Mus musculus: one gene and its partner. The protein of the gene in region 1 purifies or fractionates together with the protein of each later gene. This does not show direct contact. Links are inferred from orthologs where the notes say so. Each region holds a gene or a part of one and is shown on either strand. Other genes may lie near its edges.

Region 1 (5,905 bases):
ACTCATATTCTTGGCGTATGTGTCTAGAATCCTGGAAGAGATTCTGGGTAAAATAATGCACCTGAGACGGGTCTAGATGGGAGTGGCAGAGGCCAATCCTGAGGACATGGCTCCCACAAATCAAAGTGTTTCCCAGAGAAGAGGGTCTAGGAGCTGCAGAGCAGCCTTGGGAGAGGGAGGGAAGGACATCAGGTAGCCCTTCTGTCCCACCATCCGAAGGACCATGGACTCACCCCACAAAGTAGGAGATAATCAGCAGCTGAACGGCTCGGTTGATGATCCCAATGGTCCAGCTTTTCACAACCACCGACTTGGTAGTCTCGTAGGTGAAGAAGTCTGATATACAGTTCATACTGAGAAAGTGCTCACAGCCACCCAGAAAGGCTGTGGATGCAGCCCAAGGAGAGAAAAGACCTCAGGACTGGGAGACAGAGATCAAGAACTGGAGTGGGCTGCTTAATGGGGCTTGAGGAAAAGAGCCAGTTCCTATAAGCCAGGCAACTGTAGTCCAGTGCCTCGTCTCTCCTCTTGACACTCTAGAAGCCAACAGTCCAGGGCCAGGGCGGTGGACCACCTTTTTATTCATCTTCACTCCACTCCCCTGTGATGTCACAGCAGGGGTGGGGTCTCCAATCCCGGGCTCCAGATTGCCTGAGATGCAGCTGGCTAGGGCCCTCTGGGACTTATGTTTCATCTGCACTCTGTCTACTGTTTCTATTCTGTTCTCTTACGCGGCATCTCTATCCCAGCTCACCAGCTGCTTTGTATTCTCCAAAGCCCCTTGTAACTGCCCACTCTTGAGTTAGCTCATCTGCCTGAGCCAAGAACTCCACTCTTGAGTGTCTGTCGATTTCTATCTAATAGCACAAATAGGGAGAAAGGGTTCTTGACAGTTCTGTGTCTCCTGGGAGGAAGACACGCATTTCTTACCATCTCCTCCTCTCTGCCCTCCAGCATCTCATTATGTTGTCTAACTTGTTATGTTGCCATGTTTCAAATTCACAATCCTCCTGCCCCAGTCTTTGAGTGTTGTGATTACAGATTTGTAATACTACAAAGCGGAAAGTCGCTTATTTCTAACTCTAGTTGGTTGCAACTCTTCAAGTTGCACAGAAATTACTGAACTCCCTCTCTTTTTAAACCCCGAAGTTATTAAAATCTTTTGTTAGGGTATGTGCTCCTAAGAGGCTGGGCTATTTTAACGATCTTCAACAGTTTTGTCAGATCCTAGAAACGTGCTGCATTAATAGGTTTTCATTATGTCTTAAGCCCAGTTTGACTTAGCTAAATAGTGCTAGCAATGATAGTGGTTAAAGCCACAAGCACCGAATGACAAAACACATTTTTATCTATATCATATCCCAGGACTGAGTTAGCAAGTCAGTGCAGTGATATTTCAGGGAAACTGTGGGCTTATCCTGTCTTTGTGTAGGACATATGCTAGCAATCACTCTAAACCCTGAACCCTCATGATTATAAAAGGCTGATGTTAAAGAGTCTGTGTTCTAGGTTCCAGTTTTGATGGTAATGGACTGACACCCAGTCGCAAATCTTTTGTGGTCTCATTTTTCTCATCTGTAAAATGAGATAAACTCAAGCATCTCTGTCAGACCTGGCTTCAGATTTTGCAAGATGCACTCCGGTGCTATGTGAGGCCATCCGGGCTTCTGCCAACGTAGGCTGATGTGATTTCAAGTAAGTTCTAGCTCAAAGGTAAATCCGACACCACCACTTGAATTTAATGCAGCCATCTGCTAGGCTCTTCCTGAGAACCCACAAATTAGGGATATGGACAGGATAGTGTTGGGGGTAGGTGAACTCACTGCAGAAAGGATCTGATCTACTTGCCAGGGTACAGCTGGAAAGCAAGCACAATCGCCGACACCCGCATCTCCTTTGCAGCTAGTGGGGCTACACCTCTGTATTTTTCTTGTTCAACAGACTCCTTCCCAGATTATTTCACAGGAGGGAGGGGCGTGCATGATTCCAACAAACATACAAACCTGAACACCTAATAAAACCGCATAATTTCCCTTCGGAATCTAGTCTTTGAAGAGCAGCTTGTAACTTTCTAAAGAGTGTTCCCGTTTTCTAGTCAAGAATTCAGCCGCGTGGGATTCCATAGCAAGCCTCTCGCTTTAGCCGACCAGGGGGAGTGCCGACGCTCTAGGCGAATGTACCCGTTGGTCGGCCCGGATGATGCCGTTCTAGCCAAGTCTTCCTCTCTATGGTCCGTGCGCGACTTCCGGTGGCGGGACGCGGGGCTGCGCACGCGGGAAAAGCTTCCCCGGCATCCCTTCCCCCGCATCCCTACCCCCTCCCCTGCGTCCCCCTGCGCCCACCGCCCTCACTGTGCCGTCGCGAGGCTGCAGCTCTTAGAGGTGGGTGGTCGCGATCCCTGGGCCCCTGGTGTGCATGGGCCCCGCTCCCCCGCGGGACGATCGGAATGGATCGATCCGCGTTCAAATTCGCGGGCAATGGGCGAATCCATTTTAAAAGAAGGGGGAGAAACGTAGATTCACGCGGGGCCCCGGGGTGGTGGGGTCTCTGCGATCAGGACACTACCCTCTGAGCGGAGTTGAGGTGCGCTCTCTGAGCGGGTCTCAGGTTCCGCCGATTGTTGCCGTGCCTGTCCGTGGAACGTACCGAGAGGGTGTCGGGTTGGGGTGTAAGCGCCACTATAGGCCTGGTTCTGCACCTAGGGTCCTGGGCCTTGGCCTCAGGAGCCCTGCAGAACGGGTCAGTAAGATCCCCAGGCAGCAAAGAACTTGAGACATACCAGGTACATGGCTGAGCGGAGTAAGGTGGCGTTGTTTCTTGCTTATCAGTCTCCTTCCCGAATTCAGATTCCCACCCTGCTGGACATCTACACAACTAACCAGGAATTGGGGCACAGCATCCAGAGAAGGGTTCGTTTTCTCTGGTGCAGCCTAGGGCTGTGTGCTCAGGCCACCACGGGCAGGTGAACATGGCAGAGACATTGGAGTTCAACGACATCTTCCAGGAGGTGAAAGGGTCCATGGTGAGAATGGCTTGGGCAAAAGAAAGGCAGAGAGGGGGAAAGAGTTCGAATCTATGAACGAAAAGCTTAACTCTGACTACTTTTTTGGAAACAGTGTATCAGTGTGTCCCCCAAGCGAAAACGTGAGCAAAGTCTCAAAGAGTTGCAAGATGTTGAGTTTGTTGAGTTGTATTAGAAAACCAGGAAACTGGGGCCCTTACAGGGTTTCTGATGCCAGAGCCAAGCTTGCAGTCTAGACTTAATGTCTGTTGTGTCTTTTAACTTGATTTCACCACGACCGCTTTTCAATTGATACTCTGGCCATCCTGCATCCCATGGGTAAGGGGTAGAAAGGATCCACTACACACTACCCTGTTCTGATTTTGGGTCTGTATTTTGGGCAGAATGATGGGAGGCTTCGATTGAGCCGTCAGGGTATCATCTTTAAGAACAGCAAGACGGGCAAAGTGGACAACATCCAGGCTGGGGAGTTGACAGAAGGCATCTGGCGTCGGGTAGCATTAGGCCATGGGCTTAAACTGCTCACAAAGAATGGGCATGTCTACAAGTACGATGGCTTCCGCGAATCGGTGAGCGATCTTGTTCTGTGACCCACTTTCTTTGTAACTGCCTTGTCTTTTTTTATTTTTAATCTTCTAGAGACAGTTGGCGTTTCTCTGATAATCATGTTACTGCTCATTTGGGTTCCTCGAAGCAAGGCTGTTGGAGACTATTGAACAAAACAAACAAACAAAAAAAACAGTGTTGTGTATTCAGTACACGTGTCGTGTACCTGGACTCCAGGAGGTTTTCTACCATCTTAACTTATACCATGGTTTCCACTTGCTCCCTCTGTCCTGGCTCAGCATCTTAGCTTGGTGCTCTAGGATTTTGCTTTTCCATTTTGAGCTGCTTTTGAGTTACTTGGTTTTAATATTCACTTTCATCAAAAGATCACCTACACAAAGTTTAGAAACTCAGGTGATGCATGTATCTGGGAATTTAAGTTTCTTTACTACTCTTAGCCAGAGGCCCAGAAAAAAAGTTTTTGTGGTTATTGTTAAAAAATATTTTCAGGGTCTGGAGAGATGGCTCAGTGGTTAAGAGCACTGACTGCTCTTCCAGAGATCATGAGTTCAATTCCCAGCAACCACATGGTGGTTCACAACCATCTGTAATGGGATCTGATGCCCTCTTCTGGTGTGTCTGAAGACAGCTTCAGCGTACTCATATATAAAATAAATAATTTTATTTATTTATTTATTTATTTATTTTTGACAGGGTTTCTCTGTGTAGCTCTGGCTGTCCTGGAACTCACTCTGTAGACCAGGCTGGCCTCAAACTCAGAAATCCACCTGCCTCTGCCTTCCAAGTGCTGGGATTAAAGGTGTGTGCCACCACTGTCTGGCATAAATAAGTCTTAAAAAATAATTTTCATTCGTTAAAAAGTATTTATTTTATCTGTATGAGGCTTTGCTAGCTTGTGCACCATGTGCATGCCCGGTGCCCACAAAGCTCAGAGGAGGGCATTGGATCAGCTGGAACTAGAGTTACAGACAGGTGTGAACCACTGTGGGGCGCTGAGAAGGACTCCAAGGTCTTCTGGCAAGAACAAGTACTCTTAACTGCTGGGCCATCAGGTCTCTAGCACTTAAAAGGTTTTAAGCACAAAGGTTAAGGGAAGGAAAGAGGCTTGGAAGAAGGACATCCTTGAAGAGTAGGGCAGAAGGCATCTGGGTTCTAGAAACAGTCTCCACTAACAAAGGGAAATTGTTTTGAAACAGTTTTGGAGTTGGTATACTCAGTTAGCTGAAGTTCCTGAGGAAGATACATTGGTGACCTGAGCTAGAGACTCTCAGGACCTGTTAGTTGTGTTGAGACCCAGAGGTTTAACTGGATCTGCATTTTCTCCGTTTGATTTACAGGAGTTTGAGAAACTCTCTGACTTCTTCAAAACTCACTATCGCCTTGAGCTAATGGAGAAGGATCTGTGTGTGAAGGGCTGGAACTGGGGGACAGTGAAGTTTGGAGGTGAGTGGGCAAGCTTGAGGTTTGGGGAGAAGGTGGGGTGAAGGAGGGCCTCAGATGGTACCTTTCTGTACTCTTTCCTTGGTTCTGATTGCTAATTTCAGTTTGTGTGTTTAGCATGGGTTTCTCCAGCATGTACGGTCCATCAGGCACTGTGCCTGGTTTTGGTACGGTGTGAACAAAGTTCCTCCAGTCCTCTGACCTCGCTCACGGGCCTCAGGACTGGTGGGGATGCTTCCGAAGCCTCTCGGGGAGGAGTCTGCGATGTGACAGGCTCTTTCCTTACAGGACAGCTGCTTTCTTTTGACATTGGTGATCAACCAGTCTTTGAGATACCCCTAAGCAATGTGTCCCAGTGTACCACAGGCAAGAATGAGGTGACCCTGGAATTCCACCAGAATGACGATGCTGAAGTATCTCTCATGGAGGTGCGCTTCTATGTTCCTCCCACGCAGGAAGATGGTGTGGACCCTGTGGAGGTGAGGTTTCTTCACGTTGGGCTGGTGGAGGTTGCTGAATAGACTTTGGCTGGCTGGCCTGGGAGCAGAGGCCAGCTGTTTGAATACCCACCTGTGTTCACAGGCCTTTGCCCAGAATGTTCTGTCAAAGGCAGATGTGATCCAGGCCACCGGAGACGCCATCTGCATCTTCCGGGAGCTGCAGTGTTTGACTCCTCGCGGTCGATACGATATCCGGATCTACCCTACCTTTCTACACCTGCATGGCAAGACCTTTGACTACAAGATCCCCTATACTACAGTTCTCCGTCTCTTCCTGCTACCACACAAGGATCAGAGACAGATGTTCTTTGTGGTGAGCAAACCCCTCATGGGGTGCCTGGTTTTGCCTAAGTTTTTAGTAGATAAAGGTCATGCT
Region 2 (5,905 bases), on another chromosome or scaffold:
GCGCTCAGCTAACTTATTTCTTCCCATTTGCTCTCCTGAGAAGCCCAACATCATATTAAAAATTCAATGTGGATATGTATTTATTATGTTTTAAAAGTCAAACATCAAACCAGGTGAAGTGACTCTAATCCAGTCTTTTCACTTAAAGAGGTAGGAGGATCTTAGACGTTCAATAGGCTGGCTGGAGAGGTGGCTCAGCAGTTAAGAGCATTGACTGCTCTTCTGGAAGTCCTGAGTTCAAATCCCAGCAACCACATGGTGGCTCACAAACATCTGTAATGAGATCTGATGCCCCCTTCTGGTGTGTCTGAAGACAGTTACAGTGTACTTACATATAATAAATAAATCTTTAAAAAAAAAAAGTTCAATAGGCCAGCTTCAGCCACAAAAAGAATTTGAAGCCAGTCTGGGCTACATGAGATCCTGTCTCTAAAGTGAAATAAAATAAGTTAAATGTGAAACACTTATGGTCCCAGCACTCAGAGCCATTTCTGAAACCCCACACCCCTAACACAAATCTAAAACTGCTGATGAATTTTAAGTGATTATTTACATTATGGCCAAGCAGATCATATTGGGTAGGCTATCAACAGCCACAGTCTATTTCCTCCCATTTTTCACACATAAAAAACAGTAATATAGTAGAATATATCTTCTAGCAGTGGTTCTCAACCTCCCTAATGCTTTGACCCTCTAATATAGTTCCTCATGTGTGGTGGCCCCCAACCATAAAATTATTTTGGTTGCTACTTCATAACTTTTTCTTGCTACTATTGTGACTCATAAATATTTTTGGAGAGAAAGATTTGTCAAGGAAGTTGCAACCCACATGTTGAGAACCATATCCATCTTATAGGTATGTTGATCTATAATCCCTTATCTATAATTCTAAAACCAAAAAAGCTTAGAGATAGGCTGGAGAGATGGCTCAGTAGTTAAGAACACTGACTGCTCTTCCAGAGGTCCTGAGTTCAAATCCCAGCATGATACAGTGGCTCACAACCACCTGTAATGAGATCTGACACCCTCTTCTGGTGTGTCTGAAGACAGCTACAGTGTGTGGGACTGGAGCAAGTGGGGAAGGAGCAAGCAGAGGTCCTGATTTCAATTCCCAGCAACCCCATGATGACTCACAACCATCTGTACAGCTACAGTGTACTCATATACATAAAATAAATAATCTTTTTAAAAAAAGCTTAGAAATGGAGACTTGGAGAGATGGCTCTGTGGTTATGAACACTGGCTGGGTTGCACTGGTTGCTCTTCCAGAGGACCCAGGTTTGATTCATAGCACTCACATGGAAGGTAACAGCTGTCTCTAACTCCAGTCCCAGGTAATGTGATTGATGCCCCTTTCTGACATCTTCAGGTACCAGGTATGCATGTGGTGCACAGATATGTATGCAAAGTAAAGCACCCATGCACATTTAAAGAAATAAAATTAAAAATAAATTTATTTTAATAAATGTAATTTAAAGAAGAGATCAGAAATGAGCAAATACTGCCAGAAACTAACCTAATACTACTGAAAGCTTCATCCTTAGTAATCCAGGCTGTCTTTGTGGCCCCAGCTGGCCTCAAATTCTCAGTTGTCTTCCTGCCTCAGCCTCCCATATTGGGATTTCTAGTCCTAAATCTTTTATTTTTCCCCAGTGCAGATTGAATTTGAACCCTCACTCATAATAGGCAAGCTCTGTACAGAGCTACTTTCCATGTGCCTAGAGGCCAAAGGCCGATTTCCAGTGTATTCTTGAAATGCTCTTCACCCCACCAGGCAGCACCTTACTTTTTTTTATTTTTTTTCCCCCAGACAGAATCTCTATGTATAGCCCTGGCTGTCCTGCTGTCCTGGAACTCGCTATGTAGACCAGGCTGGCCTAGACACCACCATCCAGCATCTGTATTTTAAGACAAGGTCCTTTATTGGACCTGAGAGCTGGGATTACAGATGTTGGAAGCCGTGCCTGAGTTTAAGTAGGTGCTGGATTTTCGGAAAACAGATCTTTAGTCTTTAAGGGCAAGTCATTTACCGACAAGCGATCTCACCAGGTCTTTTTTTTTTTTTTTTTTTTTTTTTTTAAAGATTTATTTATTTATTGTATGTAAGTACACTGTAGCTGTCTTCAGACACTCCAGAAGAGGGAGTCAGATCTCATTACAGATGGTTGTTAGCCACCATGTGGTTGCTGGGATTTGAACTCCAGACCTTTGGAAGAGCAGTCGGGTGCTCTTACCCACTGAGCCATCTCACCAGCCCTTTTTTTTTTTTTTTTTTTAAGGGTGGGGGTTCTCAAGGATCCCACGCTGCTCTTGAAGTTGCTATGCAGTTGATGATGAATTTGGGTTTCTGACCCTTTGCTTCTAGAGTGCTGGATTACAGGCGTGCACCACTAACTACTCCAGGCTAGAGCTCTCAATGACTTATTTCTTATTCTTCTGCCACAGGATCTACGTATGTAGACATATGCTGGCTGGCTGGCTGGAACTCGCTTTGTAGACGAACCTGGCCTGGTATTCACAGAGATCTGCCTCCCCAGAGCAGAGCGACCACACCCACCCTCAACTATTTTTAAGAAACCTGGCCGCAGCTGACAGGTCGTAAACAAGTCTGACCCGCATCCCAAGCTCCGCACAGCGTGCGAGCGGGCTAACGGAGTAGCGGGCGAGCGCAGACACCGGGGCGGGGGTGGAGGGGGTGGGGGCGGAGCCAGCCGAGTGCTGGAGAAAACTAGGTCACAAAAGTAAAGTAGGTCTTTGTGCGGCTCTTTACGACACGTCGTGTTTGGACGGGTCTGGCCGTAAAGCAGGCTCGAGCCGAGCAAGCCAAGGCCGCGGACCAAGCTGCTATGGCGGACATGGAGGACCTCTTCGGGAGCGAAGCTGAGAGCGAGGCCGAGCGCAAAGGTGCGGCGGACGGGCGGGCGGGCGGGCGGGCGAGCTCCGCGGATGGGCACATGGGGCGTCGGGTTGCTTTTCGGCCGGAGGCGCGGCGCCGGGCAACGCGAAGTCCCCAAGCTCTTGCCCAGCGCCCCCTGCATGCCCGGCGGTGCCCGCCTCTCCCGGGGAGACCGCCGCGGAGTCAGTGCCTGGAGGATCAGGGACCGGCCTGGACTCCTGGGGGAGCAGAAGGGAGGACGTGTGGCCTGCGCCCCTCCGTGCATACATGGCCAATTGAAAGGGTGGCTGGCAGTGAATGAGTGGAGACATGTTCAACTGCCCATCGGGCGCGGTAACGCCCCGTGTGAAAGGGCGAGTTGATGGGAGAGTGTAGATGCCCCTGAAGGGTCTGGGAGGGATCAGGTTGGAGTTCTACAGAAGGACTACGCACTGGCGATGGGTGCCCTTGGAGAGCCTGTGCGGAAAGCCAGTTTCCTTGTCTGTGATGTAAGAATGGGGAAACTTGTGGAGTGTTTGGAGAGGAGTGACAGGATTTGGTGATGAATGAATGAATGATGGTTCATGGGGGGCATTTCTGGCACAGGTCTACGAATATCTGAATTTGAGATGTGAATAGAAGAATGAGGAAAGATCCGAGATGAACTTCAGAATTCTTGCAGCCCCCCCAGGCCCAAATTAACTTCTATACATGTCATTTTCCTTGCCCCTCCCCCCATTCGTCACCAACTCCAGTTTGTATGTAATTACTCCAGTTGTGGAGGGAGCACTAAGTAAAAGTACAGAGAACTAAACTCTTCCTGTGCCCGGCTTTGCTCATAGTTTATTCTCTGTGTCTTCGAGGCACAATTCTGTGTACACCTTCCCATGTTTTCCATGAAGCGTTTCATTCATTCAGTAAACAAGGATCCCTATCATCTCCTGGCCACCTTGCTAGGGGTTGGGAATGTAATCATGAGAAGACAGGTTCCCGCTCCCCAGCTTAGTGCTTAACGCTTAGTGCTTTTTTGCATCCACTGGTGAAAGCGTCGTTTAGTAAGATGTACCTGTAGTGCTTTCTCATAGCCACCCATAGCTTAGGGAAGTGGAGTGTACAGATGATTGCAGTTCTACGCTTTCTTCCCCTCCCCTTTCTTCCCTTTTAAAAACTTCTTTTAAGGTCATGGCAGTTTTCTTCCATTTTACCATTGAGTTAGTGGACTCTCCAAGACTGACTTTCAGGGTCTGGTGTCCTGTCTTTGACAACTGCTCTTAGTCTTGAAGTTGCTACGGATGTGACAGGGTAGAACTTGGTAGGTCTGCCTGATTGTCTGCTTACCTGCCTGCGTGCCTCCTTCCCTTTCTTTCCCCCTCTTTCTTCTACTGGATCTGCTGTGTATGTTGCCTTTGTTGGCTTTATACTCCCGATTCCACTTCCTCAGTGAGTGCTGGTCTTAGTTAGATGTGTACCTCCACTTCCAGCTAGTACTACTACGTCCTATTTTCTATTTCTGCTATACGTTGATCTTGTGACTTGATGCTATCCTGATGCTGATATGTTTTCTGTCATTGTTTTTGTGGCTCCTTTAGGGTTTTCTACATGTGAAACCATGCCATGGTGATTAGAGATAGTTGTACTGTTTCTTTCTCTTGCCTATTTATTTACCTTGCTATGGCTGGTACTCTCTTTATGATGTCGAATGGGACTTGCAGAAGTAGATATTGTTCTTGACCTCAGAAGGAGTATGTCTAGGTTTCTAGCATTGTTTATGGTTTATAATCATCGACTCTGTAAGGTCTATAATGTCATCCCCACTTGCATTCTTGACTTTAGTAATTTGAGTCTTGCTTTTTTTTTTCTTGTACAGTCTGCCTAATGGTTTAATTTTGTTAATGTTTTTAAAGAATGAACTGTTAGCCAGGCATGATGGTACATCTCTGTAATCCTAAAACTCAAAAGACAATAGGCAGAAGGATTGGCACAAGTTTGAGGCTTGGTCTACATAACCAGTTGCAGGCAGGCCAACTGAGACTACAAGAACTTATTTAATGGAGGAAAAAAAAATCCAACTACTGGTTTTAAACTACTGGTTTTATTGATTATCTACTTTGGGCTTTCTTACTTTCTTTTTGTTTTTGTTTTTTCAAAACAGGGTTTCTCTATGTAGCCCTAGCTGTCCTGGAACTTGCTTTGAACTCAGACTGTCTGCCTCTGTCTCCCTCTGGGATTAAAGGTGTGCACCACCACACCCGGCTCAAGGGTTTGTTTTTGTTTTTTTGACAACTTGATATGTTTAGCTGTGGATTCCTTAAGGTTTTTCAATGTGGCATTAATTAAACTTCTCGGATGTTAGATTCGTTCTATTTGGGTCATTATTTCTTTAGCTATTACCTTCTTCTGTTGGCATATTTGTATTACTATTTGATTGTGTTCTTATACCTCTACCTCCCTTCCAACCCTTCTCCACTTTGGTCCCTTTCCACGCCCTTCCCCCCCCCCCCAGCATTAGGTAGGAGAGAAAGAAGGTGAGAAAGAGGGAAAAGGGGGTGCAGACCTCTGTAGGCGACTTTGTACTGATTAAGGTCATACTGGTCCTTGGATCCATCCGGTCTCTGTCATCAGGATATCTACAACTTCTTCTTTTCATCTCTTTGCTCACTTTGTTCATGATTACTTTACAAACCGCAGCAGCAATCAGGAGCAGCAGCTTTCCCAGAGTGCCCTCTGCTCTCTCGGGGCTCTGTGTCTATACCCTCCCCAGAGTCCCCAGAGTTAAACTATCTGGCAAAAATCACACCCCTCCTAGAGCAGGAGACAATCATGGTTAATGGCTGCAGGCAAACTGAAGCAGCCCCATAGTCCACACCTGGGATTAAACAAAAACATACTCATATGACATAACTGGGGTTTGTAAACAAACCAAAACACTACATTCTTCACTCCATAATGCATATGTGGTGCTCTGATGGGACTGTGTACAATTGTTTTTCTATACTTCTGCTCTGTTTGCTTTTCTCTTCCTGCTGCATT

The links.
Region 2: the proteins of Ssrp1 (region 1) and Leo1 fractionate together in Homo sapiens (co-fractionation; 3 studies listed by BioGRID and IntAct, with this or other methods). This does not show direct contact. The link is inferred for Mus musculus from reciprocal best matches to the Homo sapiens genes SSRP1 and LEO1.

Annotation. Positions count from the first base shown.
Region 1 is NC_000068.7:85,034,948-85,040,852, forward strand, and holds the start of Ssrp1 (FACT complex subunit SSRP1), read left to right. Parts: upstream 1-2,172; 5' UTR 2,173-2,381; intron 2,382-2,503; exon of another isoform or gene 2,504-2,583; intron 2,584-2,828; exon of another isoform or gene 2,829-2,846; 5' UTR 2,847-2,968; coding exon 2,969-3,022; intron 3,023-3,405; coding exon 3,406-3,591; intron 3,592-4,926; coding exon 4,927-5,032; intron 5,033-5,317; coding exon 5,318-5,508; intron 5,509-5,611; coding exon 5,612-5,842; intron 5,843-5,905. Other genes in the region: P2rx3 (P2X purinoceptor 3), read right to left, coding at 234-352. UniProt on the Homo sapiens protein: Component of the FACT complex, a general chromatin factor that acts to reorganize nucleosomes. The FACT complex is involved in multiple processes that require DNA as a template such as mRNA elongation, DNA replication and DNA repair.
Region 2 is NC_000075.6:75,438,732-75,444,636, forward strand, and holds the start of Leo1 (RNA polymerase-associated protein LEO1), read left to right. Parts: upstream 1-2,792; 5' UTR 2,793-2,846; coding exon 2,847-2,904; intron 2,905-5,905. UniProt on the Homo sapiens protein: Component of the PAF1 complex (PAF1C) which has multiple functions during transcription by RNA polymerase II and is implicated in regulation of development and maintenance of embryonic stem cell pluripotency.